Linked DNA regions of Saccharomyces cerevisiae S288C. The gene in region 1 interacts genetically with each later gene. Each region holds a gene or a part of one and is shown on either strand. Other genes may lie near its edges. The genes, in order: FIS1, ATP5, LCB4 and DUR12.

Region 1 (3,609 bases):
AGATATAAATGCCTGGATTTTAAAAAGCTCAGTTGCTACTCAAACCAAAATGTCAACAAATCAATTTGCACAAAACAAGTACGCATAAACTTTGAGAGCATGAGTGAGACCAATGGTGGCAATGCAGCCAGGGAAAATTCTGAGGTGAAACAAACTGCAGTTGAAAATCCTATCGATAAACTAGATGGAACTCCTAAGAGACCGAGGGAAAAAGATCAGGATGAACAAGCGGAAGAAACGAGTGACAAATCAGAAGCACCCAATAAAAATGATGAGGAGAAAAAGGAGGAAGGTAAAAAAGACCAAGAACCATCGCATAAGAAGATCAAGGTTGACGACGGAAAGACCGTAGAATCTGGTATTGTGGAAGATGACAAAAAGGAGGATAAATTCGTGTTTGGTGCCGCATCTAAATTTGGAACTGGGTTTGGTGTTGCCAAAAAGGACACGAAAGATGGAGATGCAACTACCAGTACTGAAAGTTTACCAGCCTCTGACAGCAAAACAAAGAAGCCATTTGCATTTGGTTCAGGTTTATCATTTGGCAGCGGCTTCAACATACTGAAAAACAAAACAGAAAATAACTCTGAAAGTGAAAAGAAAGCTACTGATGTTGACAAAGATAAAGTCCATAGTGGATCTGAACAACTAGCGAATGCCTCAGAAGATACAAAAGACAAACCAAAACCCCTCAAATTGCAGAAACAGGAAGTCAAGTCTGGTGAAGAGTCTGAGGAGTGCATATATCAAGTCAATGCGAAGCTGTACCAACTTTCCAACATAAAAGAAGGCTGGAAGGAAAGAGGTGTTGGTATCATCAAAATCAATAAAAGTAAGGACGACGTCGAGAAGACGCGTATTGTTATGAGGTCTCGTGGTATCTTAAAAGTCATTTTAAACATCCAACTGGTCAAGGGGTTCACTGTGCAAAAAGGATTTACAGGTTCTTTGCAAAGCGAAAAATTCATAAGATTACTAGCAGTAGATGATAACGGTGATCCTGCACAGTACGCCATAAAGACTGGTAAGAAGGAAACCACGGATGAATTGTATAACATTATAGTTAAATCCGTTCCTAAATAAGTAAAGAGAAATAACGTTAAAAATAAATCAAAGATAAAAACAAATCAGTTTTGTTTAACAAATGCTACACTACATATGGTCGCACCCTGGACCCCGCCAAATTGGAAAACAGGGTATTTTATTGTTTTCCACATTTTCAAATTATCAGTCTCTATGATCTTTACTAGTTCATCTTGTGTGAAATTACAAGAAGTGATCAAGAAAATACCGTCTTTTTTCAAAATCCTTTCCACTACTCCGGCGTATACATCGACTACATCAAGTTTACCGTTGATCTTCATGCCACTCAATGAAATGGCATCTAGGGTCCCTTTATCCAACACAATGTCATACTTTCCCGGCTTCCAGTCACCACTAAAGATGTCTGCTTGCTGGAAACTGATGAAATTGTCAACACCGGTGGCCTCGGCTATATTACTAGCGAGTTTGACGCTTTCCTCAGAATAGTCTATCCCGACCAGTTTCCCTTGGAATTCCGTTTGATGCAGTTCAAATAACATGTGTCCATTACCTGTACCGAGGTCTACAACAGAAGCATTCTCAGAAATTCTGTACGCACCAATGTTATCTACCAGAAAATCAATCATCTTTTGTTCAGCATCGCTATCGCTAAACCAACAGTCCCCGGTATCCTGCGGATTCCGCCTGAAATTCTCCAGCTCCAGGGCATACAGTTCATCCCAGTATTTTTTCGTACCAAGTTTCGAAGTGCTCAAATCTGCCGTGCCCTGCATCTGTACTACCTTTTCGGGTTGAGTTCGTTCCATAATACCGTTCTTAAGAGCTGAGCTCATCGATTTTTTTTCACTTCTTTTCATGAACCAATCTTTTTGCGCATTTATGCCGGAACACCGCAAGCGGGCTAGGCTGGACCCCTTTCAAAGCAAAGCTGCCATTGCCACTATTCTGCACAGAAGTTATCATATACCTTGCGTAAAAACGGCACATAGAAGCACAGATCAGAGCACAGCCATACAACATAAGTATGACCAAAGTAGATTTTTGGCCAACTCTTAAGGACGCATACGAACCACTCTATCCGCAGCAGCTGGAGATTCTGCGCCAGCAAGTCGTCTCCGAGGGGGGGCCCACCGCTACCATACAGTCAAGGTTTAACTACGCATGGGGGCTGATCAAATCCACTGACGTGAATGACGAAAGGCTTGGTGTGAAAATCCTCACAGACATTTACAAAGAGGCCGAGTCCCGTAGACGAGAATGCCTATATTATCTGACCATAGGTTGCTACAAACTCGGTGAATACTCTATGGCGAAGAGATATGTAGACACTTTATTTGAGCATGAGCGTAATAACAAGCAGGTGGGCGCTTTGAAGAGTATGGTAGAGGATAAGATCCAGAAGGAAACACTCAAGGGTGTTGTCGTCGCTGGAGGCGTACTAGCCGGCGCTGTGGCCGTGGCTAGTTTCTTCTTAAGAAACAAGAGAAGGTAACAAGCACATAAAAAATCAGCACATACGTACATACATAAGAATGAATCGCACGCACGCGTAAACATTTATCATTTAATCTTCAGTTGTTAGATAAAAAAAAAAAGAAAAGAAAAGAAAGTGAAGGCTTGTTTCAGTTTGAACTAGGTAGCAGAGCAAGCCCTCGTTCTTGGCTGCTAATTTTCCTAAAGTAGTAAAAAAAGCCAAGTTATCTGCCTACGGTTGTCACAGCAACATTGCGTGCCGTTGTTCTTTTGTTTTTTTTTTTTTTTTTTTTTCGTGGTTGTCGCAGCAACGACACCTAGGCGCTGCTCAAAGGGGCAAAAACCCGGTTGCCATGGCGAGGACCAAACGACAAGATGGGAAAAAAACAATAGTCTATTGTTAAATCGTAATACTGTATTGTGAGATGCTGACGCGTTTCGTTTTTCGTGTCAGCGTTCTTTATATTGTTTCGTGTTCTGCTGCAAAACGTATATAAACGCACTGCTATTTTGCCTTCTTTTGCCTTCTTCCTTGCCTTTCTCTCATCTCATATCCAAGTTGAAATAAATATGACAAGCAAGAATAGCAGCAGCAATAAATCAAATACTCCCACACAAATGTACGTTATTAAAAGAGACGGCCGCAAAGAGCCCGTTCAATTCGATAAAATTACCTCCCGTATCACCCGTTTGTCATACGGTTTAGACCCAAACCGTATTGATGCTGTTAAGGTAACCCAACGTATTATTTCTGGTGTGTACTCCGGTGTTACTACCGTTGAGCTGGACAATCTTGCAGCTGAAACATGTGCATACATGACCACTGTGCACCCTGATTATGCCACTCTAGCCGCTAGAATCGCCATCTCTAACTTACATAAGCAAACCACAAAGCAATTCTCCAAAGTTATTGAGGATTTACACGACTGGATTAACCCAGCTACTGGAAAGCATGCTCCTATGATTTCGGACGAAATTTACAACATTGTCATGGAAAACAAAGATACTTTGAACTCGGCCATCGTGTACGATAGGGATTTCCAGTATACGTATTTCGGATTCAAGACACTGGAGCGTTCGTACTTGCTAAGA
Region 2 (3,639 bases), on another chromosome or scaffold:
CCGAATTCTCATTGTCATCAACACTATCTTTGACAACGGGAGAAATCAATTCTGGTAGCCTGCCATTAGCACAGTCTTTTTGGAAATACAAAGGCGTTATGTTTCTCCTGTTCAACTTTGTTCTTTTCATCAAACGGGACATATCGGATAATTGGTTTTCGACTTGTACATCTGCAGGTAAGTTGATAGCTTTGAATTTGTTAGATGATAAAGCAGCGTTACCTGATGCAGAAGAAACTTTGGTAGACCACTTGTTTAATACGGCAGTCCTGTACTCTTTTAGTTCTGAGTCTAAGCTATTAGTTTCTTGGTAAAGCTCTTTGAGAGATCTTTTTTTGGACAATTTATGCTTCGCCACCTCTTCATTTTGAGTGATATGATCGCCAAGTTGGAATTTTATTCTGAAATTTATCAACCGATTGAATAAATTATTGAACAGTTTTTCGTTTTCCTTCAGCAAACGCTTTGTTTCCTCTGAATCATCCATTTTAGCCTCTTCCCAGGACTCTGTAGTTAATGGGAGCTTATTTGCTGCAATTACAGCTTTTTGTAGTTTTATTCTCAAATCAATGATGTTGTCAAATAATTTTGTCTGTTGTAAAATGGAATAACCCTTCGAAGCATCTCTTTGAACTGATTGAGACAGTTTGTTAATAGCTTGTTTAGTCTCTTGTTGAATTAGTTTCGATAGTGCATGCCTTTTCTGTTGAGCCTCCTCCGTTTCACCGCCGTCCGCGTCTGATTCTTCTTCATCAATCTCTACTTCTTCATCTTCAGAATCTGTCCTGAATGAAAGAGCATCTTCCTCTTTTTCTTCTTCCTCTTCTTCTTCTTCTTCTTCGTCCTCATTCTCGGAAACTTCTTCATATAATGCTTGTCTTGAACCTTTAACACCTGTATATTTTGGATCGTTTAGTTCTAAACCTTTTTCTGCTCTTAACTTAGACTTTTCCACCTCCAAATAGTGCGCCTTCTTGGTTTCTTCTGTGTTGCTATTTCCATAGTCGCTTAAATCACTTTCTCCATTTTTTTCATTGTGTTGAAATAAAGATGCATTTTCCTCATCTTCAATATCGAAGTCTTTATTGACCGGTTTAATGGCGATATCGGAAATTTGATCCGCTAGTGATTTTTCCATCTTTTTTTGCTCTATATTTATTGGTAACAGTGCTTATTGTTACTCAATGTATGGTACGCTGCATACCTATCAAGATGCGACTACATATATACAATTATCTCATCTCATCGCGTATTGAAAAATTTTCCATCTTCTAATTTTTCAGAACCCATAAATTCGGGTAACGATCAGTGGAAAAAACTTAAATCCGCAGTAATAGGCTTGCAAAGGACCAAAGACAGCATATGCAGCAGTTAAGAAATCTAAGAATGCATTGTATATTAGAGTAGTATATGGAAAAGCTCGGACTGGGAGCCGTAAAATCTCTTTCCCGTAAGATCTGGCTGCAAACCTGGTCTACATAAATGTAGTACATTATAAGGGACTACCAAGAAATACGAAGCGCTCAGATATCTCTTAAAGTTCATTTTTTTGCCGGAATAATCTTGGTTTAGTAACTTATAAAACTACTTACGTCCAATAAATCGTTATATTTTATGCCGTCGTCATAAAGTGGACACTTTCGAGAGACGGTGCTGGCCAATAAGATGCTGATATTTGAAATATCATTTACCCGGGCCCGGGTGGGAAAAACAAGGAATTAAAGATAATGAAGTGATCTTTTGGCGAGATAGTAAAACTTTCAATTATCTAGGAACAATTTCAAACGCCAATTGTTAACTTTGTGTACAGTATTTCTAGTTTTTATCTCATTGAAAACAAAATTCAGTCAACTTGGAAATTTAAGCAGGCTACTGTGGCATTGAGATATTTTTCCGCAGAGTAAGAACCGATTAGCAAGTTACCGCATTATTTTTAAACCGTGGACAATCATGTTTAATAGAGTCTTTACCAGGTCATTTGCATCAAGCTTAAGAGCTGCTGCTTCCAAAGCTGCTGCTCCCCCACCGGTGAGATTGTTCGGTGTTGAGGGCACTTACGCAACAGCTTTATATCAGGCCGCTGCAAAGAACTCCTCTATTGATGCTGCCTTTCAATCTTTGCAAAAAGTTGAAAGCACAGTCAAAAAGAATCCAAAATTAGGTCACTTATTACTGAATCCTGCATTGTCATTGAAGGACAGAAATTCTGTCATTGATGCCATCGTGGAGACTCACAAGAATTTGGATGGTTATGTCGTTAACCTATTGAAGGTTCTTTCCGAAAATAACAGACTGGGATGTTTTGAAAAAATTGCGTCTGACTTTGGCGTTTTAAACGATGCTCACAACGGGTTACTTAAAGGTACAGTGACTAGTGCTGAACCATTGGATCCTAAATCTTTCAAGAGGATTGAAAAAGCTTTGAGCGCCTCCAAATTGGTGGGGCAAGGTAAATCTTTGAAGCTGGAAAACGTGGTTAAGCCAGAGATTAAGGGTGGTTTGATTGTAGAACTTGGTGACAAGACTGTTGACTTAAGCATTTCTACAAAGATTCAAAAACTGAATAAGGTCTTAGAGGACAGCATTTAACGTTAATAATATAGTTGGATATGCTCAACTCGTTTGATGTTACTTTCTTTGCCTCCCTCCTAATTTTTGATTCTGTTCAAATATATATTCTTTTCCGTGAATTTTTCCTAAACATCAAAATTACGTACATATACGAATAAATAAGAAACCCCTCTAAAAAGTGAATTTTTTTGTTCGAGACAACCATTTTAATCATATATATGTTCGTGTATCCAGGCAAACTTATATTAATCGCAAAAAAAAAAATTATAAGTGTATATATGGAATAAACATAAAAAATAATAAAAGAAGAAAAAAAAAAATAATGAAGAATTCTCATCAGTTTTCGAAGATTTCAAGAAAGTCCGAAGAACATTTAAGACCTTTTTGATAATTCAAGATGTGCATGCACAATAATAACCATTTCATAGTTGAATTTTGATGTATTCTTTCGTTACAAATCAAATATATAGTCAAAGTCACGCCTATACACTTAATAATATGTCTTGATGTATATAAATGGATAATAAATACAAACGTGGGAAGTCGGAGACATTGCCTTTACCCAGCAATTGAACGGGAGGTATGCAAAAGGGTTATTTCTCTTTCTTTACTTCATTTTCAGCAGCATTCATAGCTTTGAAGTTTTTGAGTTTCTCCTTCTTTTCCAATTCTCTCTCTTGCAAAAACTCTTTGTACTTGTCGATGGTGACACGTCTTTGCTTCTTTTGATATTCTTCAAACCCTTTAAAGTTAGTTTGGAACAAATTGTCCCAGAAAGTGAAAAATGGTTGAGCAAAGTTCGTCTTGATACCAAATTGCTGGTGGTGGATATCGTGATAGACAGCGTTATTAGGGAAAAGCCATTGGAATGGGTCAAGTGGCAAAGCATACCCACAGTGGTCATCGACAGTCTTCATGGTGGCAAAGGTAAAAAGAATGATTTGCTCTCTGTGAGTCAAATGAGTTAACGTCATGGCAATACCGGTTCCCAAAGTATCTAACAAGAAGCCCTCAACAGGATTGTTGAAAAGAGCACCGTAAGCATATGGCACGTATAGTTCATGATGA
Region 3 (5,054 bases), on another chromosome or scaffold:
GTATCAAATAAATATTTATAATCTGGCTGACTCATTAGTTCCTCCCAGCCAAGGTTGTACGCCGTCCAAAATTCGTTGGATATTGTCTGTGCCAGTTCAGTCTCAATTGGCCCAGTTTCATTGTTATGCGAAGCGTTTTCGCTGTTATTTCGCACTTCCTCCGGGGGTAATCCTGGAGAATTTCCCGCCAATGGACTGGCGCTTGTGACGCCCAGGTCACTTAAACTGGGATCGATTGGAGTATTTACATTGTCAGTGAGCGAATAGGACCCATTCAATTCGTCTTGGAGTTGTTGTAACCATGTGTTTTCGACCTCGGTTCTATATTTGATTACTTTTTCCAAAACAGCTCTATATATGCTTTCCAGGGCGATGTTGATAACAAATGTATAAGAGCGAGCCATAATAATTCTTAACTGCTTGTTGTTATCATTAGACCATTTAGCAAATATATCTGAATGTATTTTGAAAGCAGTAAGTAAGTTCATAGCTTTATCCAACGGGATATTCAAGGTTGACAAATCCCAATCTGTGACTTCTTGATCTTTGATGTTGGATGATAGATAATAGCCCTTCTCAAAAAGAGTTAACTTATGATACAAAAACGCACAAAAGCCAGTAGAGGCCCTAGGAAAAAGGAAATTTGTGTATACTAAAGACAAGGCCATAAATGGCGGTAAATGAACGCAATTATGATCAAAAAACTCAGGAAAATGCTTCTCATCTAGGTTAAAACACAGTATGGTCGTATTGATGACAAGGGAAAAAGAGACCAAAATGGTTTGCAGGATGTTGTTCTCTAAAACAACGCTTTTTTCCTTGTAAATCAAATACCTCAAGGAATAAAACGTCAACAACAAATTCAAAACCTGCGCAAGCACTTTAATCTCGCACAAAGGAACTTTAGATATTAACTCACTGTCAGTGTAATATGATATTGGGTGGAATTCAGTCTCTACAAAGTTTCTTAGTTTTTTACAATTTTCGGCTAAGTCTGGAAATGCGCTTCTATCATAAATTTGATCTAGCATTGGTCGAGCTAATCTTAAAAACCTTTTAAGCTTGCCCATGCAGGAATTTGACTGATCGAAAAAAACCGTCGATGAATAATTGTTTGTATTTTTAGGCAACCTCTCACCATTCTCGCATTCATCGACTTGAAAATAGGATGAGTTAATCGCCAAACATCTCCCAATATTTAAAGAAACATTGAAATCTGATAATATAATCCAAACCCACAAATTTTCCAAACTTTCCATACTCCCCACAATATTTTCTTGATTTTTGTATATTTCTCTTATATTCAAGTGTAAACCCAGCATAATTGCCGTGCTGCATAATAAGTCAACTAGACTAATCATATGCGAATCGTCTCCACACGCCCAAATTAGTTCTCGATGATAGTATTTCAATAAGAGAAATTGAGCGCGTTCAATGAAATATACTTTAGCTGTTGACAGTCCCGTCAGCATGATGAGAAATTTCTCTATCTCTTCCGGAGTATTTTTGTAGAAATGGCGAATACACAGTATCATCAAAATAACTCCAATCTTATAATAGTTTTTCTTTGTCGATGGTAATAACTTTTCAATCCGCCTTTCACCGTTGGGTAACAGTTCGTCACTTGGAAGAAACGAGGAAGTGAAATCGTTTATTATTTTGGTTTTATCTAATACTTCACTAACTTCATTAGTTTCCAGTTCAGTATTGAAAAAGTCTGTTATAATCTTTGACGATTGTTCAAAAGATGGCAAAACGTTACAAACCTGTTGCAAGATGTCAGAGCCTGTCTTTTCTAACGGCGGTCCCTCTAGGAGTTGAGTTTCTGGCTTCATTGTCCATTTATGCCTAGCCTTCCATCTGTTTCTCTCGATTTTCACTTTGGACCAGAGCTGATTATACGTGTTTACAAACCGATTATCATCGTTTGAGAGATGCGTTCTCAAAGATGTAGGACCATATACTATTCTTCTTCCCGAGCCTTTACATTGTAAATAGTAAAAATTAGCGTAAGGGTTCCTAAATGGGCTCGTACTAAGCGCTACATCCTTCTCCGTCAACTCTTTGTCATCTAGTCTTTTCTCTAAATCCTCAATCCTTTTCAACAGTTCAATGTTCGGAGTACTGCCAAATAACTCTTTTGTTTCTATTTTGTGGGTGAATTTCTCTGTATACAGGCAACCAGAACGACCCCTCGTCTTACAAGTTGAGCACATTGGCTTCTGCTGGTCGCAACGTAATTTCCTTTTCCTACAAAAAGCGCATGACTTTATTGGTTTCCGTCTCTTCTGCGCCTTCTTTACAGTTTCCTCCGATGGGGAAGCTCTATCCTGTAAACTACCCCGCTTACTCATTAACAACTCCCTTTACCAGGACCATTCAATGTGCTTTCCCCTCTGACTTTCTATACTCTTGCCGTTATTATTACAATACCACCTGGCATTTGTCATTTTATCGCCTTGTAAACCATGGGTGTCACCCTACTGCCGAGCCTGAAAAAAACGTGCTGCAAGGGTCTTGAAGCAAAAAGATGATTTAACGGAAGAAAGGCATACAAGAAGGTGAAAATTCGTGTTTAACCCATCTGATACTTTCCCTTGTCTAACGTACTGATCCTGGAGGTTATCAAGAACACAAAAGTCTAGCAGCGAAAAGTACGCGAAGAATCTACTATAGATAATGGTGGTGCAGAAAAAACTTAGGGCTATCTTGACCGATGAAGGTGTATTGATCAAATCGCAATCACACCATATGTTCAATAAGCATGGTCAACTCAGAAGCGGAGATTCTTTATCCTTGTTGAGCTGCTTGTCCTGTCTGGATGATGGAACTTTGAGCTCTGATGGAGGTTCTTTTGATGAGGATGATTCCCTGGAACTGTTGCCTCTTAATACTACCATTCCGTTCAACAGAATTTTGAACGCAAAATATGTGAATGTCGGTCAGAAAGGCTTCAATAATGGCAAAATTTCTTCGAATCCTTTTCAAACGGAAAATCTGAGTTCTTCGTCTGAAAATGACGACGTTGAGAATCATAGTTTGAGCAATGATAAGGCTCCTGTAAGCGAATCACAGTCATTTCCCAAAAAAGACAAGTGGGATACAAAAACGAACACTGTGAAGGTGTCTCCCGATGATTCACAGGATAACTCACCATCTTTAGGGATAAAAGATAATCAACAGTTAATTGAGTTAACTTTTGCTGTACCCAAGGGCCATGATGTTATACCACAAAAATTAACCTTGTTAATAGATCACGTTTCTAGGAAATCGAGAGCAAATACCGGAGAGGAGAACATTTCTTCTGGTACTGTGGAAGAAATCCTGGAAAAAAGTTATGAAAATTCCAAGAGAAACAGATCGATATTAGTCATTATTAATCCCCACGGTGGTAAAGGTACTGCTAAAAATTTATTCCTGACAAAAGCAAGGCCAATACTAGTGGAAAGTGGCTGCAAAATAGAAATTGCATACACAAAATATGCCCGTCACGCCATCGATATTGCCAAAGATTTAGATATCAGCAAATACGATACCATTGCATGTGCCTCGGGTGATGGTATTCCATACGAAGTAATTAATGGGCTTTATAGAAGACCCGACAGAGTGGATGCGTTCAATAAACTAGCCGTAACTCAGCTACCTTGCGGTTCAGGAAATGCTATGAGCATTTCATGTCATTGGACAAATAACCCATCGTACGCCGCTCTGTGCCTTGTCAAATCCATTGAAACAAGAATAGACTTAATGTGTTGTTCCCAACCTTCTTATATGAACGAATGGCCAAGATTATCCTTTTTGAGTCAGACGTACGGCGTTATTGCAGAATCTGATATTAACACTGAATTCATCAGATGGATGGGTCCCGTTAGGTTTAATTTGGGTGTAGCATTCAACATTATCCAAGGTAAGAAATATCCCTGCGAAGTTTTCGTCAAATATGCTGCCAAATCTAAAAAGGAATTAAAAGTTCATTTCTTAGAAAATAAAGATAAAAACAAAGGATGTTTAACCTTCGAACCAAATCCTAGCCCAAACTCTTCGCCGGATTTACTATCTAAAAACAATATCAACAACAGTACAAAAGATGAACTTTCACCGAATTTTCTCAACGAGGACAACTTTAAATTAAAGTATCCGATGACGGAACCAGTACCTAGAGACTGGGAGAAAATGGATTCAGAGCTAACTGATAACTTAACAATCTTTTACACAGGGAAAATGCCGTATATTGCTAAGGACACCAAATTTTTTCCCGCTGCTTTACCAGCGGATGGTACCATTGATTTAGTCATAACGGATGCAAGAATCCCAGTGACAAGAATGACACCAATTTTATTATCCTTGGATAAAGGTTCTCATGTATTAGAGCCAGAAGTTATTCACTCAAAAATATTGGCTTATAAGATTATACCAAAAGTGGAGTCAGGTTTATTTTCAGTGGATGGTGAAAAGTTTCCTTTGGAACCCTTGCAAGTGGAAATAATGCCCATGTTATGCAAGACGTTGCTAAGGAATGGTAGATATATCGATACAGAGTTTGAATCCATGTAGATTAACGTTATATTTTCCTTCAAAAATGATTTTTTTGTAAAAAGAAATACTACATCGAAAAGAAAAGGCGATATAATGTTTCTATCATCGGAGTATGGTTTATATTCCATTTTTGTTTTCATTATAATTATACATCCCCAGTTATATATCATTAATACGTAACAATATTATGAGTTGGTCTTTATTATCTAATATAATTAAAAAATTTACACTATTACATCATTTTCAACCAATAGGATATATATATAAATATATACATATATGCACATTAAATCATTCACTTGGAAGTTGCGTCCTTCAAGCTAACTATTCTATTCAAAATAACCTTAGAAGTCGTACTCTCTTTATCCAGAGTGAAATAACCTACTCTCATAGCTTGGAATCTACACACTTCTTTGGAATCCTTATCTTCTTCAACATAAAATTCCGAGTTTTTAACAGAATCAACGACCCATGGACTGTTCTTGACAACGTCCCCGAAGTTATGTTCCATGACAGAT
Region 4 (8,749 bases), on another chromosome or scaffold:
ATAAATGATTCATCTTCCAACAGCTTGCGGGGAAAGTTTTTCACACTAATGTGCGGTGTTGTTTTCCTTAACAGGCTCTGAGCAAAATATGGAGAGAGAGGTCTCATTTACTTTGCCATTCTTCATTTAAGCTTGAGGCTTGTTCTACTGAAATGTTAAGTTCTCAGAAGCCAACTTTGGATCAAAGGGCTTTGTTAGTAGCAAAACGCTATTTCTATTGATTTTGATTATTTTTCGAAACATTAAGAGCACAATGTATATTAATTTTCCCTGATGAATAGTTAAGATGATTAGATGGGCTAGGCGCTTAAAAATGAGAAACAGGTGAAATTTGAGATAAATGTTGATTTCGTTGTTGCTAAAGGCTATAATATCAGGTATACAAAATATACTGGAAATATACCTCGAGAATCTTGGAATCCACGAAAGGGAATAGATATTACTCCATAATAATATTATGTTGGAACGAGAGTAATTAATAGTGACATGAGTTGCTATGGTAACAATTCAATGCTTACATCGTATATTAATGTACAACTCGTATACGTTTAAGTGTGATTGCGCCTATTGCAGAAGGAATGTTAAACGAGAAGCTCAGACAATACTGAAGCTGTGTTAAAGACCTATTAGTTGAACATGTTATGGTAGGTACATATATGAGGAATATGAGTCGTCACATCAATGTATAGTAACTACCGGAATCACTATTATATTGGTCATGATTAATATGACCAATCGGCGTGTGTTTTATATACCTCTCTTATTTAGTATAAGAAGATCAGTAATTATTTCTTCATTAATACTAATTTTTAACCTCTAATTATCAACATATTATTTCTCCTTTCGTTTTATCTGATGTCATTCATTGATTGCCAGCAACTATCCCAAACCTCATGTGATTCTCGGATTCCTTACCACGAAAAAACAGATGTGTAAGTGTATTTGAACACACAATAATAAAAATGATTATCATTCCCAGATGGAGGAGCCCATTCCAAACATAGCAAAATTCAGCACATCCTCTTCGTTAGCATTTCCGTATGGAAGCAACCCTCAGTCCAACAAATACCGTTTAAACAAATGAGCGACATTTATTCGCTTTTTCTAAAATAAAGGTCCCCGCTGAAACTTCTTTGCATACAGTTCAAATATTCCACCGTTCTCTTATATGTGGGGCTGGCACTACTTCGTATAATTGACTATACTATCTATATTAGTCTTCCCACATGTAATAGAAAGCTCGTATGGCGCAGTGGTAGCGCAGCAGATTGCAAATCTGTTGGTCCTTAGTTCGATCCTGAGTGCGAGCTTCTTTTTTTTTTTGCAATCCTTATTGAACTTTTTTTCTTGCTGCAGTCTCCTCAAAGGCAACATGTTCTTTGCTTTTTTTCCCCAACGACGTCGAACACATTAGTCCTATGGCTTGCTGCAGATAAGGCTACTATGTGTATTGGCAATACCCTTTTTAAAATTGGCAGATCTCTTATGGCGATCGCCGAACGCCAGGTTGTTAGCTAACTGCAACGGCACGCATCTTTGGCTGCATTTCGCCTCATCATTTACGCGCTTTTCCAGGCTTTTTCCCCTTATCAGATAAGATAAAAAAACGAACAATAAATAAGCTTCAGATAAGATAAGCAGGAAAGCGTTCCTAGCCCTACCGAGAAATGTGCGTTTATAGTTTGGTGCCTCTTTCTTGATTGACGCTCTATAATGAAACCAATATGCGTTCATTCCCCTATTTCATAGGGCACTCTGTTCGCAGTTAGCGCAAGCCATTGAGATAAGACACGCAGATGTTTTGCTTTTTCCTGCTTCTTAATTTGAATCGAGCTTTGTTAGACGTTGTTGGAAATTGAATGTTTGTATTTAAACACTAGAGCAGATGAGGTGTGAGATTTGTATACTCGCTCACTTCTGAATATCAGGCTCTCTTAGCTAAGCTTTTTTTTTCTAGGATCATATAGGCTCAAGTTTTTATAAGCTTATATTAATATATCAGTGGAGCAGCTGATATACACCAAATTTCAATTTACATTAATATAAAAGATAAAAAATAGAAATATCTTTTTTATAGTCACAATAAATTTCAGTTTTGATTAAAAAATGACAGTTAGTTCCGATACAACTGCTGAAATATCGTTAGGTTGGTCAATCCAAGACTGGATTGATTTCCACAAGTCATCAAGCTCCCAGGCTTCACTAAGGCTTCTTGAATCACTACTAGACTCTCAAAATGTTGCGCCAGTCGATAATGCGTGGATATCGCTAATTTCAAAGGAAAATTTACTGCACCAATTCCAAATTTTAAAGAGCAGAGAAAATAAAGAAACTCTACCTCTCTACGGTGTCCCTATTGCTGTTAAGGACAACATCGACGTTAGAGGTCTACCCACCACCGCTGCATGTCCATCCTTTGCATATGAGCCTTCCAAAGACTCTAAAGTAGTAGAACTACTAAGAAATGCAGGTGCGATAATCGTGGGTAAGACAAACTTGGACCAATTTGCCACAGGATTAGTCGGCACACGGTCTCCATATGGGAAAACACCTTGCGCTTTTAGCAAAGAGCATGTATCTGGTGGTTCCTCCGCTGGGTCAGCATCGGTGGTCGCCAGAGGTATCGTACCAATTGCATTGGGTACTGATACAGCAGGTTCTGGTAGAGTCCCAGCCGCCTTGAACAACCTGATTGGCCTAAAGCCAACAAAGGGCGTCTTTTCCTGTCAAGGTGTAGTTCCCGCTTGTAAATCTTTAGACTGCGTCTCCATCTTTGCATTAAACCTAAGTGATGCTGAACGCTGCTTCCGCATCATGTGCCAGCCAGATCCTGATAATGATGAATATTCTAGACCCTATGTTTCCAACCCTTTGAAAAAATTTTCAAGCAATGTAACGATTGCTATTCCTAAAAATATCCCATGGTATGGTGAAACCAAGAATCCTGTACTGTTTTCCAATGCTGTCGAAAATCTATCAAGAACGGGCGCTAACGTCATAGAAATTGATTTTGAGCCTCTTTTAGAGTTAGCTCGCTGTTTATACGAAGGTACTTGGGTGGCCGAGCGTTATCAAGCTATTCAATCGTTTTTGGACAGTAAACCACCAAAGGAATCTTTGGACCCTACTGTTATTTCAATTATAGAAGGGGCCAAGAAATACAGTGCAGTAGACTGCTTCAGTTTTGAATACAAAAGACAAGGCATCTTGCAAAAAGTGAGACGACTTCTCGAATCAGTCGATGTATTGTGTGTGCCCACATGTCCTTTAAATCCTACTATGCAACAAGTTGCGGATGAACCAGTCCTAGTCAATTCAAGACAAGGCACATGGACTAATTTTGTCAACTTGGCAGATTTGGCAGCCCTTGCTGTTCCCGCAGGGTTCCGAGACGATGGTTTGCCAAATGGTATTACTTTAATCGGTAAAAAATTCACAGATTACGCACTATTAGAGTTGGCTAACCGCTATTTCCAAAATATATTCCCCAACGGTTCCAGAACATACGGTACTTTTACCTCTTCTTCAGTAAAGCCAGCAAACGATCAATTAGTGGGACCAGACTATGACCCATCTACGTCCATAAAATTGGCTGTTGTCGGTGCACATCTTAAGGGTCTGCCTCTACATTGGCAATTGGAAAAGGTCAATGCAACATATTTATGTACAACAAAAACATCAAAAGCTTACCAGCTTTTTGCTTTGCCCAAAAATGGACCAGTTTTAAAACCTGGTTTGAGAAGAGTTCAAGATAGCAATGGCTCTCAAATCGAATTAGAAGTGTACAGTGTTCCAAAAGAACTGTTCGGTGCTTTTATTTCCATGGTTCCTGAACCATTAGGAATAGGTTCAGTGGAGTTAGAATCTGGTGAATGGATCAAATCCTTTATTTGTGAAGAATCTGGTTACAAAGCCAAAGGTACAGTTGATATCACAAAGTATGGTGGATTTAGAGCATATTTTGAAATGTTGAAGAAAAAAGAGTCCCAAAAGAAGAAGTTATTTGATACCGTGTTAATTGCCAATAGAGGTGAAATTGCCGTTCGTATTATCAAGACATTAAAAAAATTGGGTATTAGATCAGTTGCAGTTTATTCCGACCCTGATAAATATTCTCAACACGTTACTGATGCAGATGTTTCTGTACCCCTTCATGGCACAACCGCAGCCCAAACTTATTTAGACATGAATAAGATCATAGATGCCGCTAAGCAAACTAATGCACAGGCCATTATTCCTGGTTATGGTTTCTTGTCGGAAAATGCGGATTTTTCTGATGCGTGCACCAGTGCTGGCATTACCTTTGTTGGTCCTTCGGGAGATATTATCAGAGGTTTAGGGTTAAAACATTCTGCTAGACAGATTGCACAGAAGGCTGGCGTTCCTCTAGTGCCAGGCTCTTTGCTTATCACATCAGTTGAAGAGGCTAAGAAAGTCGCAGCGGAATTGGAATACCCAGTTATGGTGAAGTCAACTGCTGGTGGCGGTGGTATTGGTTTGCAGAAAGTCGATTCTGAAGAGGACATCGAGCATATTTTTGAGACTGTGAAACATCAAGGTGAAACATTTTTCGGTGACGCTGGTGTATTTCTGGAACGGTTTATCGAAAATGCCAGGCATGTTGAAGTCCAACTTATGGGAGATGGTTTTGGTAAGGCCATTGCTTTGGGCGAACGTGATTGTTCTTTACAGCGTCGTAACCAAAAAGTTATCGAAGAAACTCCTGCACCAAATTTGCCAGAAAAGACGAGGTTGGCGTTAAGAAAGGCAGCTGAAAGTTTGGGATCTTTATTGAATTACAAGTGTGCTGGTACGGTTGAATTTATTTACGATGAGAAAAAGGACGAGTTTTACTTTTTAGAAGTTAATACAAGATTACAAGTTGAACATCCAATAACAGAAATGGTTACAGGGTTAGACTTGGTCGAGTGGATGATCAGGATTGCCGCTAATGATGCACCTGATTTTGATTCTACAAAGGTAGAAGTCAATGGGGTTTCAATGGAGGCACGTTTATATGCTGAAAATCCATTGAAAAATTTCAGACCTTCTCCAGGTTTACTTGTCGATGTGAAATTTCCTGATTGGGCAAGAGTGGATACTTGGGTTAAGAAAGGTACTAATATTTCTCCCGAATATGATCCAACATTGGCCAAAATTATCGTTCATGGGAAAGACCGTGATGATGCAATTTCCAAGTTAAATCAAGCGTTAGAAGAAACAAAAGTTTACGGATGTATTACTAACATTGACTACCTGAAGTCTATCATTACCAGTGATTTCTTTGCTAAAGCAAAAGTTTCTACAAACATTTTGAACTCTTATCAATATGAGCCTACCGCCATCGAAATTACTTTGCCCGGTGCACACACTAGTATTCAGGATTACCCCGGTAGAGTTGGGTACTGGAGAATTGGTGTTCCGCCCTCTGGTCCAATGGACGCATATTCGTTTAGATTGGCGAACAGAATTGTTGGTAATGACTACAGGACTCCTGCCATTGAAGTAACGTTGACTGGTCCATCCATCGTTTTCCATTGTGAAACTGTCATTGCCATTACTGGTGGTACCGCTCTATGTACATTAGACGGCCAAGAAATTCCCCAACACAAACCGGTCGAAGTTAAGAGGGGATCTACTTTATCCATTGGCAAGTTGACAAGCGGCTGTAGAGCATACTTAGGTATCAGGGGTGGCATTGATGTGCCTAAATACTTGGGCTCTTATTCTACTTTCACTCTAGGAAATGTCGGTGGATACAATGGAAGGGTGCTAAAACTTGGAGACGTACTATTCTTACCAAGCAATGAAGAAAATAAATCAGTTGAGTGCCTTCCACAGAATATTCCTCAATCATTAATTCCTCAAATTTCCGAAACTAAGGAATGGAGAATTGGTGTAACATGTGGTCCCCATGGGTCTCCAGATTTTTTTAAACCTGAGTCCATCGAAGAATTTTTCAGTGAGAAGTGGAAGGTTCATTACAACTCCAATAGATTTGGTGTCCGTTTGATTGGACCTAAACCTAAGTGGGCAAGAAGTAATGGTGGTGAAGGTGGTATGCATCCTTCAAACACTCACGATTACGTTTATTCTCTGGGTGCAATTAATTTCACGGGTGATGAGCCAGTTATTATTACTTGCGATGGTCCTTCCTTAGGTGGTTTTGTGTGTCAAGCTGTTGTCCCAGAAGCAGAACTGTGGAAGGTTGGACAGGTTAAACCCGGTGATTCCATTCAGTTTGTGCCACTTTCTTACGAAAGCTCGAGATCCTTAAAGGAATCTCAGGATGTTGCAATTAAATCATTGGATGGTACTAAGTTAAGGCGCTTAGACTCTGTTTCAATTTTACCATCATTCGAAACGCCTATTCTTGCACAAATGGAAAAAGTGAATGAGCTTTCACCAAAGGTTGTATACAGACAAGCAGGTGATCGTTATGTTTTGGTGGAATACGGTGATAATGAAATGAATTTTAATATTTCCTATAGAATTGAATGCCTGATCTCCCTTGTGAAAAAGAATAAGACTATTGGTATTGTTGAAATGTCCCAAGGTGTTAGATCTGTATTGATAGAATTTGATGGTTACAAAGTCACTCAAAAAGAATTGCTTAAAGTATTGGTGGCATATGAAACAGAAATCCAGTTTGATGAAAATTGGAAGATAACTTCTAATATAATAAGATTACCGATGGCTTTCGAAGACTCGAAGACTTTGGCATGTGTTCAAAGGTATCAAGAAACAATTCGTTCGTCTGCTCCATGGTTGCCAAATAACGTTGATTTCATTGCCAATGTAAATGGAATTTCAAGGAATGAAGTTTATGATATGTTGTATTCTGCCAGATTTATGGTTTTAGGTTTAGGTGATGTCTTCCTAGGGTCGCCTTGTGCTGTTCCATTAGATCCTCGTCACAGATTTTTGGGAAGCAAGTACAACCCAAGTAGAACATATACAGAAAGAGGTGCAGTCGGTATTGGCGGTATGTATATGTGCATATATGCTGCTAACAGTCCTGGTGGGTACCAATTAGTGGGTAGAACAATACCAATTTGGGACAAACTATGTCTGGCCGCATCTTCTGAGGTTCCGTGGTTGATGAACCCATTTGACCAAGTCGAATTTTACCCAGTTTCTGAAGAAGATTTGGATAAAATGACTGAAGATTGTGATAATGGTGTTTATAAAGTCAATATCGAAAAGAGTGTTTTTGATCATCAAGAATACTTGAGATGGATCAACGCAAACAAAGATTCCATCACAGCATTCCAGGAGGGCCAGCTTGGTGAAAGAGCAGAGGAATTTGCCAAATTGATTCAAAATGCAAACTCTGAACTAAAAGAAAGTGTCACAGTCAAACCTGACGAGGAAGAAGACTTCCCAGAAGGTGCAGAAATTGTATATTCTGAGTATTCTGGGCGTTTTTGGAAATCCATAGCATCTGTTGGAGATGTTATTGAAGCAGGTCAAGGGCTACTAATTATTGAAGCCATGAAAGCGGAAATGATTATATCCGCTCCTAAATCGGGTAAGATTATCAAGATTTGCCATGGCAATGGTGATATGGTTGATTCTGGTGACATAGTGGCCGTCATAGAGACATTGGCATGAATTACCTTTTGTTGGCATCTAAAATCAAAGGAGCACTCATTTAGTCTTTATAGCATGCCTTTTTCTAGCTATTTTTAATGACGAATATATATGTACATAGTATTTACTGTAAAATGTATGAAAAGAAGCTTAAAATTATTACGTGTGTTTGTTATGTTCTCAATTTGCTGAACCACTGCTATCAATTATTAGGGGCACAGAACTATCTTTGGACCGTCTTTGACTGTCTGGCTCTGATGTGCTAGAGTTGAGTTCAGAAGTATGATGTTTGAGATCGAGCGATGCCTTGGCAATGCTTAATCTTTTCATAATACGTTTCTTTTGCCAGCTAATAGGTAGATATGGGATATATCCGTATTTTTCTTCTATCATTAGCAGTTTCAAAGCGCATATTAATACCAACCAGTAGGCGTTGTAGCTAATTACAGAGCCGACGGTAGCACTATTCGTCCAACCAAAAATGGCAGTAAAAATCATCCAACCTCCATCTTTTTCACCATTGCAACAATTAACATGCCAAACAGAACGAGATATGTCGTACGAACCGGGTCCATTTCCTACTTCACTCATGTCTTGACCGTTACATTTGTTGACGTAGTCTTGCAATTCAAGTTGCCATACACCTTTGGAAAACAAACCAGCCGCGATCAAGTAGAGGAAGCAGGTGGCGACTACAAGGCATATCTTAAGTGAAAGAGAACTTGAGTACCTGAAGAAAAAAATACCGAACACCGTACTGATTGCAGTAGCAAGGACCATAGAGAGGGGAATCGAGGATAGTGGTTGGTCAATACCGATACCTCCAATGAATACAACAGCTTCTAACCCTTCTCTCAAAGTCGTTATAAATGGTAATATGAAGAAGGAGTACTTTTCACTGAATTTCACACCTTTTTGGGTTTTGTTTCCCAGCAAATTATTGTCCTTTGAATAAATGATAGAAGCTAATTTCACTCTGAACTTCTCTCTTAACTTCCCCATTCTTAAAAAAAACAACCCCATGACAGAAATAATAACGGACGCGACAAGACTTAAGACACCTTCATAATAATGTTCACTCAGTGTCCATAAGTCGGTTCCAATATGATAAAAGATACTAACAAACGCACCCCCGATTAACATACACAGCAACAAA

The links.
Region 2: mutations in FIS1 (region 1) and ATP5 together harm fitness more than expected from each alone (negative genetic interaction), as found in Saccharomyces cerevisiae (2 studies listed by BioGRID).
Region 3: mutations in FIS1 (region 1) and LCB4 together harm fitness more than expected from each alone (negative genetic interaction), as found in Saccharomyces cerevisiae (2 studies listed by BioGRID).
Region 4: mutations in FIS1 (region 1) and DUR12 together harm fitness more than expected from each alone (negative genetic interaction), as found in Saccharomyces cerevisiae (2 studies listed by BioGRID).

Annotation. Positions count from the first base shown.
Region 1 is NC_001141.2:240,235-243,843, reverse strand, and holds FIS1 (Fis1p), read left to right. Parts: upstream 1-2,068; coding exon 2,069-2,536; downstream 2,537-3,609. Other genes in the region: YRB2 (Yrb2p), read left to right, coding at 100-1,083; EFM4 (Efm4p), read right to left, coding at 1,128-1,817; ribonucleotide-diphosphate reductase subunit RNR3, read left to right, coding at 3,136-3,609. UniProt on the Saccharomyces cerevisiae protein: Has a role in mitochondrial fission. Has a role in outer membrane fission but not matrix separation. Required for targeting MDV1 to the mitochondria.
Region 2 is NC_001136.10:1,057,126-1,060,764, reverse strand, and holds ATP5 (F1F0 ATP synthase subunit 5), read left to right. Parts: upstream 1-1,950; coding exon 1,951-2,589; downstream 2,590-3,639. Other genes in the region: rRNA-processing protein BFR2, read right to left, coding at 1-1,138; SUR2 (sphingosine hydroxylase), read right to left, coding at 3,165-3,639. UniProt on the Saccharomyces cerevisiae protein: Mitochondrial membrane ATP synthase (F(1)F(0) ATP synthase or Complex V) produces ATP from ADP in the presence of a proton gradient across the membrane which is generated by electron transport complexes of the respiratory chain.
Region 3 is NC_001147.6:651,510-656,563, reverse strand, and holds LCB4 (sphinganine kinase LCB4), read left to right. Parts: upstream 1-2,679; coding exon 2,680-4,554; downstream 4,555-5,054. Other genes in the region: YRM1 (Yrm1p), read right to left, coding at 1-2,354; GLN4 (glutamine--tRNA ligase), read right to left, coding at 4,832-5,054.
Region 4 is NC_001134.8:635,568-644,316, reverse strand, and holds DUR12 (bifunctional urea carboxylase/allophanate hydrolase), read left to right. Parts: upstream 1-2,106; coding exon 2,107-7,614; downstream 7,615-8,749. Other genes in the region: YBR209W (uncharacterized protein), read right to left, coding at 1,417-1,734; FTH1 (Fth1p), read right to left, coding at 7,774-8,749. UniProt on the Saccharomyces cerevisiae protein: Hydrolysis of urea to ammonia and CO(2).